Arabidopsis thaliana: one gene and its partner. The protein of the gene in region 1 purifies or fractionates together with the protein of each later gene. This does not show direct contact. Each region holds a gene or a part of one and is shown on either strand. Other genes may lie near its edges.

Evidence for each region. The genes of interacting proteins can lie anywhere in the genome.
Region 2: the proteins of RPS9 (region 1) and PRPS20 fractionate together in Arabidopsis thaliana (co-fractionation; one large-scale study listed by BioGRID). This does not show direct contact.

What each region holds. Positions count from the first base shown.
Region 1 is NC_003070.9:28,156,870-28,161,151, reverse strand, and holds RPS9 (ribosomal protein S9), read left to right. Parts: upstream 1-1,834; 5' UTR 1,835-1,949; coding exon 1,950-2,288; intron 2,289-3,103; coding exon 3,104-3,391; 3' UTR 3,392-3,766; downstream 3,767-4,282. Other genes in the region: AT1G74990 (RING/U-box superfamily protein), read left to right, coding at 902-1,315. UniProt on the Arabidopsis thaliana protein: Binds directly to 16S ribosomal RNA.
Region 2 is NC_003074.8:5,114,241-5,118,167, reverse strand, and holds PRPS20 (chloroplast 30S ribosomal protein S20), read right to left. Parts: upstream 2,148-3,927; 5' UTR 1,953-2,147; coding exon 1,763-1,952; intron 1,614-1,762; coding exon 1,453-1,613; exon of another isoform or gene 1,014-1,452; coding exon 756-1,013; 3' UTR 680-755; downstream 1-679. Other genes in the region: AT3G15200 (Tetratricopeptide repeat (TPR)-like superfamily protein), read left to right, coding at 1-679; AT3G15180 (ARM repeat superfamily protein), read right to left, coding at 2,365-2,451, 2,556-2,653, 2,765-2,879, 3,113-3,160, 3,269-3,406, 3,590-3,687, 3,858-3,927.

The sequences.
Region 1 (4,282 bases):
ATAACGTCATTAAAAGATTTTGTTTTTGATTAAATTTTTCTAATATCATTGTCATGTAATTAATTACAAAAATTAAGGTTACATTTCAAATGTACTTTCCAAAATAATATAATAGGATTTCTTTGGGTACAAGGTGACCAATGATCATCTAGAATCCCGCAACCGTCAAAATCACAAGTTTTAGCGTAAACAGTTTATGGATTGTTTGACTTTAATAATTGGACAAATGTTGTAAACAATAATCACTACTACGTGTTTTAACGTTAGGTTGGGCATTTTTCAAGTAACAATGAAACTAATTTATTTATTTTGGTAGGGATAAAACAAAATTTAATGCAATGTTCAATATGTATTAGTATTGTTTTTGATCGAGTACTAAAATTCTGTAATTCGTTCACTTAATTTAAAGGTATAGAATCATAAAACGATAATTATTTTTGGTAAACAAAACTATTAGTCAAAAGTCAAAACTGACATTTAATTTGAATTGAAACCAAGGAAATAAACTAATTTTATTTAAATTATGTTATTAAATCTTTAAAAATCATCTGATAATTACATGAAGGAAGCTTGGTCAGCCATAAGAAGAATAACAACTTTTTTCCTTTTTTTTTTGTTTTGTTAATCCGTTAGTATATAAACAACAGTATTCCTAGTTTCTTTCACCGACTCTTCTAATCTCTGCGATCGTACATCAGAAACCTCTATCTCATCGCCGAGGTAAATCTTTCAGACGCTGTCCCTTCTCGTAAAAATCGAAACTTTGAATCAAATCTACGTGAAATTTTTGTATTTCTCTGCATGTTTGATCAATTCTATATGAAACCGCGTTTAAGGGTTTTAGAGTTTTTCATCTCATTCGTTAATTTCATTGCATGTGTGCAGGAAAAAAGATCTTACAATGGCTATTAACACCATCACGAACGAAGAAGATGATGCATCAAACAACTTTGGATGCAATATCTGTCTTGAATTGGCAAGAGAACCGATCGTGACTCTATGTGGTCATTTGTTCTGTTGGCCTTGTCTCTACAAGTGGCTCCATTACCATTCTAAATCAAATCATTGTCCTGTTTGTAAAGCTTTGGTTAAGGAAGATACTTTGGTTCCTTTGTATGGAATGGGTAAGCCATCTTCTGATCCGAGATCGAAACTCAATAGTGGTGTTACTGTCCCTAATCGACCAGCTGCGACTAGGACTGAAACAGCTCGACCTCGTCTTGAACAAAGACATCATGGGTCTAGTTTCTTTGGTGGGCATTCAAGTTTTGCTGCCATGCCAACTGGTTTACGGTTTTCAAATTTCTTGTTGTAATGGAAAGTATCTTTTGATGAATCTGAGTCTGTTTTTTTGACAATGTTTTTGAAACTATTATTATACATTGTCTACGATTTTTGTTATTTTGACAATTAATGTTTAGAGCTACTTTTACATTCTTATAAAAAATTTGCATCTGCTTGTAATATTTGATTCTCCAATCTTCCGCTTTGTGAAAAATCGTCATAAGCTTGTTCTCGTGCTACATCTGCAGATTGATCAACATGAATGCTGATTATAGTATATGATCCTTAATATATGATTATCGCACAGATGAATTTAAAGCTTCACATTTAATCGTGTAATTTGGAGTAGATGGCAAAAGAACATGGAAATTAACTAAATGACAATGATGTGATGTAAATTTTTGTTTTGACCATTTTGTTTTTGTTAACATATGTAACGAATCTACACAGAGTATTTGTGTTTTCAAGCTCCTTGTTAAGCCCAATGAAGGTTTTTAATGGGCTCTAATGGGCCGATTCAATAAGTTGGAAAGCTCATGAAGCGAGAGGGACCGTGCCTAATCTCATCTTCACTCTGCTCGTTATCTTCTTCCTTTTTACCTGTTCAACGAAACTCCTGAGCTCAGCTTCACTTTGCTCGACGTTATCTTCTTCGTTCAGCGACAATGGCGTCGATTACGAACCTCGCCTCTTCTCTCTCTTCACTCTCGTTCTCCTCCCAAGTTTCTCAAAGACCTAACACCATTTCCTTCCCCCGCGCGAATTCAGTATTCGCATTACCGGCGAAATCCGCACGCCGCGCTTCTCTATCTATCACCGCCACGGTATCTGCTCCACCGGAGGAGGAGGAGATAGTTGAACTGAAGAAATACGTCAAATCGAGGCTTCCCGGAGGATTTGCTGCTCAGAAGATTATTGGCACTGGACGACGTAAGTGCGCAATCGCTAGAGTTGTTCTTCAGGAAGGTACTGGGAAGGTTATCATCAACTATCGTGATGCCAAGGTAAATTTATTTCTAATTTCATTATCTTATTGGCTTTTACACTGTTGCTTAGTCGCTTGATGTGTTTGCTTAGGCCTTGAATTTGGAGTTTATACAGCTGAGAATTGACTACTCATATGAGATTAAGATTTGAACTTGAAATTGGTATTTTAACAGCTAAAGCTATGAAAGCAGTCCACTTACCCCCGTTTGAACATATTCTTGGTTTATATGAATATCTGATACCTGCAAGAGACTGACATCATGCATAGTGTGTAATCGATTGAAGCATTTAGTAGTATAAATTGTAGCAGTTTGTAGGAGAGAAAGTCTTGACCTTTATGAAGATATTCTCTGTTATGTAGGGTATACTAGTCTTGTGATCAAACTGTATCTTTATGTACTTCTTTTTGATAGATGAGTTATATCAGCGCGTTACAGATTAAGTTGAAACTGGAAGAACTCTCTGAACAAATAGTTTATATGATGAATTCTAGGCTATTTAGACTTTAGACTAGGATAAGTGGCTGAGAAAGTGATCAAACTGTATCGGTATTAGTCTTGTGATCAGACGTTATCTGTATGTAGTTCTTTGTGACCTGGGAGCTGCATCAGCACGTTATAGATTAAGGTGAAACTGGAAGAAATTTCTGAACAAATAGTTCATATGATAAATTCTAGGCTGTTTAGACTTAGGATAAGTGGCTGAGAAAGTGTTAACAAGGAGAGATTATGATAAAAGTTTGGGGGGTTTTGACAAGCTGTTTTGTTGTGAATGGGAAAGATTTGAATCCATACGTATATTGCTGATGATGATCATTGTAAACCTTTTTCAGGAGTACCTTCAGGGAAATCCATTGTGGCTTCAGTATGTTAAAGTACCATTGGTGACTTTAGGATATGAGAATAGCTACGACATATTTGTGAAAGCCCATGGAGGCGGTCTCTCAGGTCAAGCTCAAGCAATTACCTTGGGAGTCGCACGTGCACTCCTGAAGGTAAGTGCAGACCACAGATCGCCTTTGAAGAAGGAAGGTTTGCTCACTAGAGATGCGAGAGTGGTTGAAAGAAAGAAGGCCGGGCTCAAGAAGGCGCGTAAAGCCCCACAATTCTCCAAGCGTTAAGAGTTTTACATATCATTGGATCAACTCTTCAAGTAGACTCCTCTGCCTCCATTTTTTTTAAAAACTTTTCTTGTCTATTATCGGTCTTTTGTTTCATGTTAATGTTTATGTGTAGACGAACTAATACAATCTCTGTTTTGTTTGAATGGAACGCAAAGTTGATATGCTTTTGTAACAAATGCACTTATGAATTGTGATCAGACAAATGCACTTCTGAATCGTTTATCAGTTAGATTTCAGGTGAAAGTGAAAACTTTGCTTCTTTCAAAAGGTGTTCATGGATAGTGGATAAGCAGCAATACCTGAACACACTTGTATCACTTTGTGTATCTATCTAATTCCTTTGATATTGAAGTAGTAATGTTGATTTTGATGGGCTCATACCGAACGAATCAGAAATCGACAAGTGTGAGATAGTATGTATGTGTGCATAAAATAGGCTGGTTTAGCTGGGAATGGTGATGCGAAAATGGAATGTTAGGTATGAGAGAGCTTACCCACTTTGACTCTTTCCATGCATATTCGCTTGCTCCCCTCTTTCCTGCTTCCTCTGTTTTCTTTTATTCCATTTCCATCACTTAAAAACAAAACAAAAAACCTGAACTCTTGGGTTGGATTTCAAACCAACATAAACCAATTCTCTAATACAACTTGGTTTGATACAATATTAGAGCTACTTGATGTGTGTAATGTTTCGATCAGTAGGAAAAACAAATCACGTGTATCCTATCAAACTTTTGATTATACACAAGTCAAAAGAGACATTCATTGTGTGAATTTAATGAATTTGAGGGGTCTATTATATTTATTAGTCAGCTTTAACGTATCAAATCCATGACTTTTATCAATGTTTTTTCTTCTTTTCTTTCTGGATCTACTTCCCAATACCAT
Region 2 (3,927 bases), on another chromosome or scaffold:
GGGAAAGGCTATGGAATTATACAGAGCAATGTGGGACACCAGAAGAAACCCGGATGTTAAAATCTGCAATAACGTTATTGATGCTTTGTGTTTCAAGAAGAGAATCCCTGAGGCTCTTGAAGTATTCAGGGAGATTAGTGAGAAAGGTCCCGACCCGAATGTTGTGACGTATAACTCACTTTTGAAGCATCTCTGCAAGATAAGGAGAACTGAGAAAGTTTGGGAGCTAGTGGAAGAGATGGAACTTAAAGGTGGTAGTTGTTCGCCTAACGATGTGACATTCAGTTACTTGCTCAAGTATTCGCAGAGATCGAAGGATGTTGACATAGTTTTGGAAAGGATGGCAAAGAACAAGTGTGAAATGACAAGCGATTTGTACAATTTGATGTTTAGGTTATATGTGCAATGGGACAAGGAAGAGAAAGTGAGAGAGATATGGAGTGAGATGGAGAGAAGTGGATTAGGACCAGATCAGAGAACATATACTATTAGGATTCATGGTCTGCACACAAAGGGGAAAATTGGAGAAGCATTGAGTTACTTTCAAGAGATGATGTCAAAAGGAATGGTACCAGAGCCAAGAACTGAGATGTTACTGAACCAGAACAAGACCAAGCCAAGAGTAGAAGACAAAATGCTTAGATCGAACTTAACAAGCGAAGAGTCTGAAAGCGACTAAATGTACATTATAAAGAAACAGATTTTGATTTTGAAAGATCTAGTAACAAAAACAAATTTCCGTTATCCCCATGTTCTTATGCAGCCATGGGCACAGCTTCTGATGGTGCTGCAGCAGCTGCGTCTGGGACGTACCAACCATGGTGAATTTCAACGGCTTTTTTCCTCCTAGCCAATCGAGACTTCCTACGGGCACCAGTGTTCTTGTGTAGTGCTTTAACCTTCACTGCTTTGTCAATTGCAGAATAAGCCTCTCCTATCAGTTTCTCCACCGTCACAATCTCATCAGCTTGCGCATCAGTTTTCTTCTTGAGCCCCTCAAGTGCTTCCAAGACCTGTTTACTCAAATGAATTTTACTCTCATCTTGCATGTATGTAAAAAAGTTACTTACAACATTTATAAGTCTTAGTTGTCGAGGATAATGAGATGTTCTAAACTATCAAGACTTTTAAAGTTCTCCCAAGTTCTAATAACAACATGAAACCGTCTCAACAGCTTCCACTTGAGTTCCATTTTTCGATAAATCGGTTGCAAACAATGATAACTAATCCACCTACTTGGATTCCAATGTTCAGTGTTGTTCATAGGTTGCTACAAGAATTCACAAGGAGAAACATTCCCTGATATATTTCCACCTAACTTATCACTAAGACTTCAGAGGAACAGCATTACAAGCTTATCAACAATCTTGTATCCTATCTTCAAACAGAAGCTCAAATTTTCAAAAGCACTCCAACATATTTTCACAGAAAGTATGAAGTTTACAACATTACCTTCTTCATCCGGGTACGGGCTTCAGATTTCTTAGATTTGTTGTAAACACGCCTCTTCTCAGCTTGGCGAGCTCTCTTTGCAGCTGAATCAGCTTTCTTGGTAGGAGCAGCAGCCTCACACACAATCAATTGCCTCATTGGCTTCTGTACCCACAAATTCCCTGTCCAAACATGTATATTTCAGTTCCAAAACCCCTAAAATTTTGACACTAGCGAAAGCATAAGAAAACGAATGGATTCAAAATGCCGATAACATTTCAATAATTCTCCATGACCAGGATGAAATTCACGATTCTGAAGTAGGGTTTACCGGTTGAGAAGGCGACGCATTGAGAAACGCTCTGAGAGAAGCTAAGGGAAGAGGATAAGGTAGCCGAAGCACCACGACGATTGGAGAAGGAAGAAGATGGTGACGAACAAGAGATTCCCTTAAGCGAAAGGACTTTGAATTGGGATTCGAGGGTCGCACAGGAAGAAAGACACTGCACTATCGTCGCCATCGATTTCTACAAGCTTCCTCTTCTCTCTTCTCTGCTCTTTCTCCCTCTGTTAGTAAAGAGTAATGGCTCCATTTCGAACCAGTGTTATCCATAAAGGAAGAGATGATGTCTGGAAACGCAATTACTATATTACCCTTGGTTTATCGTCTTAACTCCAGTTTAGCCCAGTGTTTTGGATCTCCCGCGTGGGCTAATGGCAAACGATGAGAAACGGACCAAACTCGTTATTCCTTTTTTTCTTTGATTAAGTTCAACACTAAAAATTAAAGAACACAAATTTCAACCGCCAAAACGTTTACTCCTAGCCTTCGTTGTTTATAGAAAGAACTAAAGTTTACTTATCGAACAGCCAGAGAAGATATAAAAAACTTTGGTTAACAAAGAAGTTTTAACTTTTTTTCTTTAGTTGTCTTTAAAATCCTTCGCCTGTCATTACTTCTGGTCGTGCGCCTCTGTGCTTCTTCGACATATATGGTCCACTTCGAACAGCTTCTTGCAACTGCAACAAATGTCAAACATGTCATCAGCAAGTAAAAGTACAACATCAAAGAAAAGCCTTTTCGAAACTTCCATCTTAAAGAGCGCAGAGGAAAAGTATGGAACCTTGTCACCGGTTTTTAGACGACGAGGGTCATCAACAAAGTTACTACACAAGAACGCTTCGTGAATTGCTTTGCAGCAGTTATACCTTGCTTCCATTGCTGAGTAAAAAAAAAATGAGATTTAGACTCGTAGATCAAAGAGGTTGAGGGAGGAAGAAGCCAATACAATGGCTGGAGTGTGGGTGATGCGAGGAATGTTACTTGGTTTACCTATTTTTGCAGTTTCAGTGGTTGCATCCGTAACTATGTTTATTATCTCTTCTTTGGCCAAGATTTCCACCAGGCACCATGGCCGAGCCACTAATGCTGTTAACGTTCGATAACCCTGCAAACAACATTGTAAACAATATACTATAAGCAAAAAACATAGTTACCTCTAGGCAATGCGTGAAGGTCTTATGTGAGATCAAATGAGTGACATGTATCCGAGTTTTGTGTAGAAGGACAAAAGAGATTTCTTAATTTTGAATGAAATGTAGTGTGTCATTTTGAAATTTCCAACTAGAGAAACAAAGGGGGAGAAGATATGATAGATCAGATGCTGAGTTAAAGGTTTACCGCAAGACGAATCTCTGAGCTTTGTTGAAGAACTGAGAGGAATAAACCCTGCAATTTGTGCGACATGCTTAAATTAGCTCATGCTACGGATCAAACAAAAATATGTAATCTGCACACTTCTGAGAGAAGAATAAGTAAAAGAGGAAACGAACTTACGGATGGGGTTAGTTTTGTGCTCTGTGCTGCAGCGTCGTATATCAAACATCTAAGGCTTTCTTCAGCTTTTCCATCAACTATTCTGTTGCTCTTAGGTCGTGTTTCACCTGCGATGTTTGCCAGTGCATGCAGTGCAGCCTGCACATGCCATTTACGAAACAATCATATAATTTCATGAATGTCTCTACTAATGAAGCAAAATTTCAACCCTCAATAGTTAGAATTAGAAATCCTAAAACTGGAAAAATTGGATCTTCAAAAATGTAGTAAGAGCATATAATCGGCAGAATTTCAATTGATGAGAAGCAAAAACACACTAACCAACTGTTTTCCATGTGCATTACGATCAAAGGCAGAAGCTACAACATGTCTTGCAGCTGGAGGTGAAGTTGAAAGGACAAGATCCGCTCCCTTCGTTGCTAAGATTATTGTAAAAATATCCATATAAGTTACAAGATCATTGCATGGGAAACGAATATCTTGTCGGATGCTCTTATAATTCATAATTCTAAATGTATGGCCTCTCTAGCTATCTCTTTTAGAAGACGACTGCAACAAACAAAGTTTCAAAGAAAAGTGACCCACTTACTTGATCCCATCTGACCAAGTGCATCAATGGCAGCTTCCTGTGCATCAGTATCATTCATCTCAACTGACTC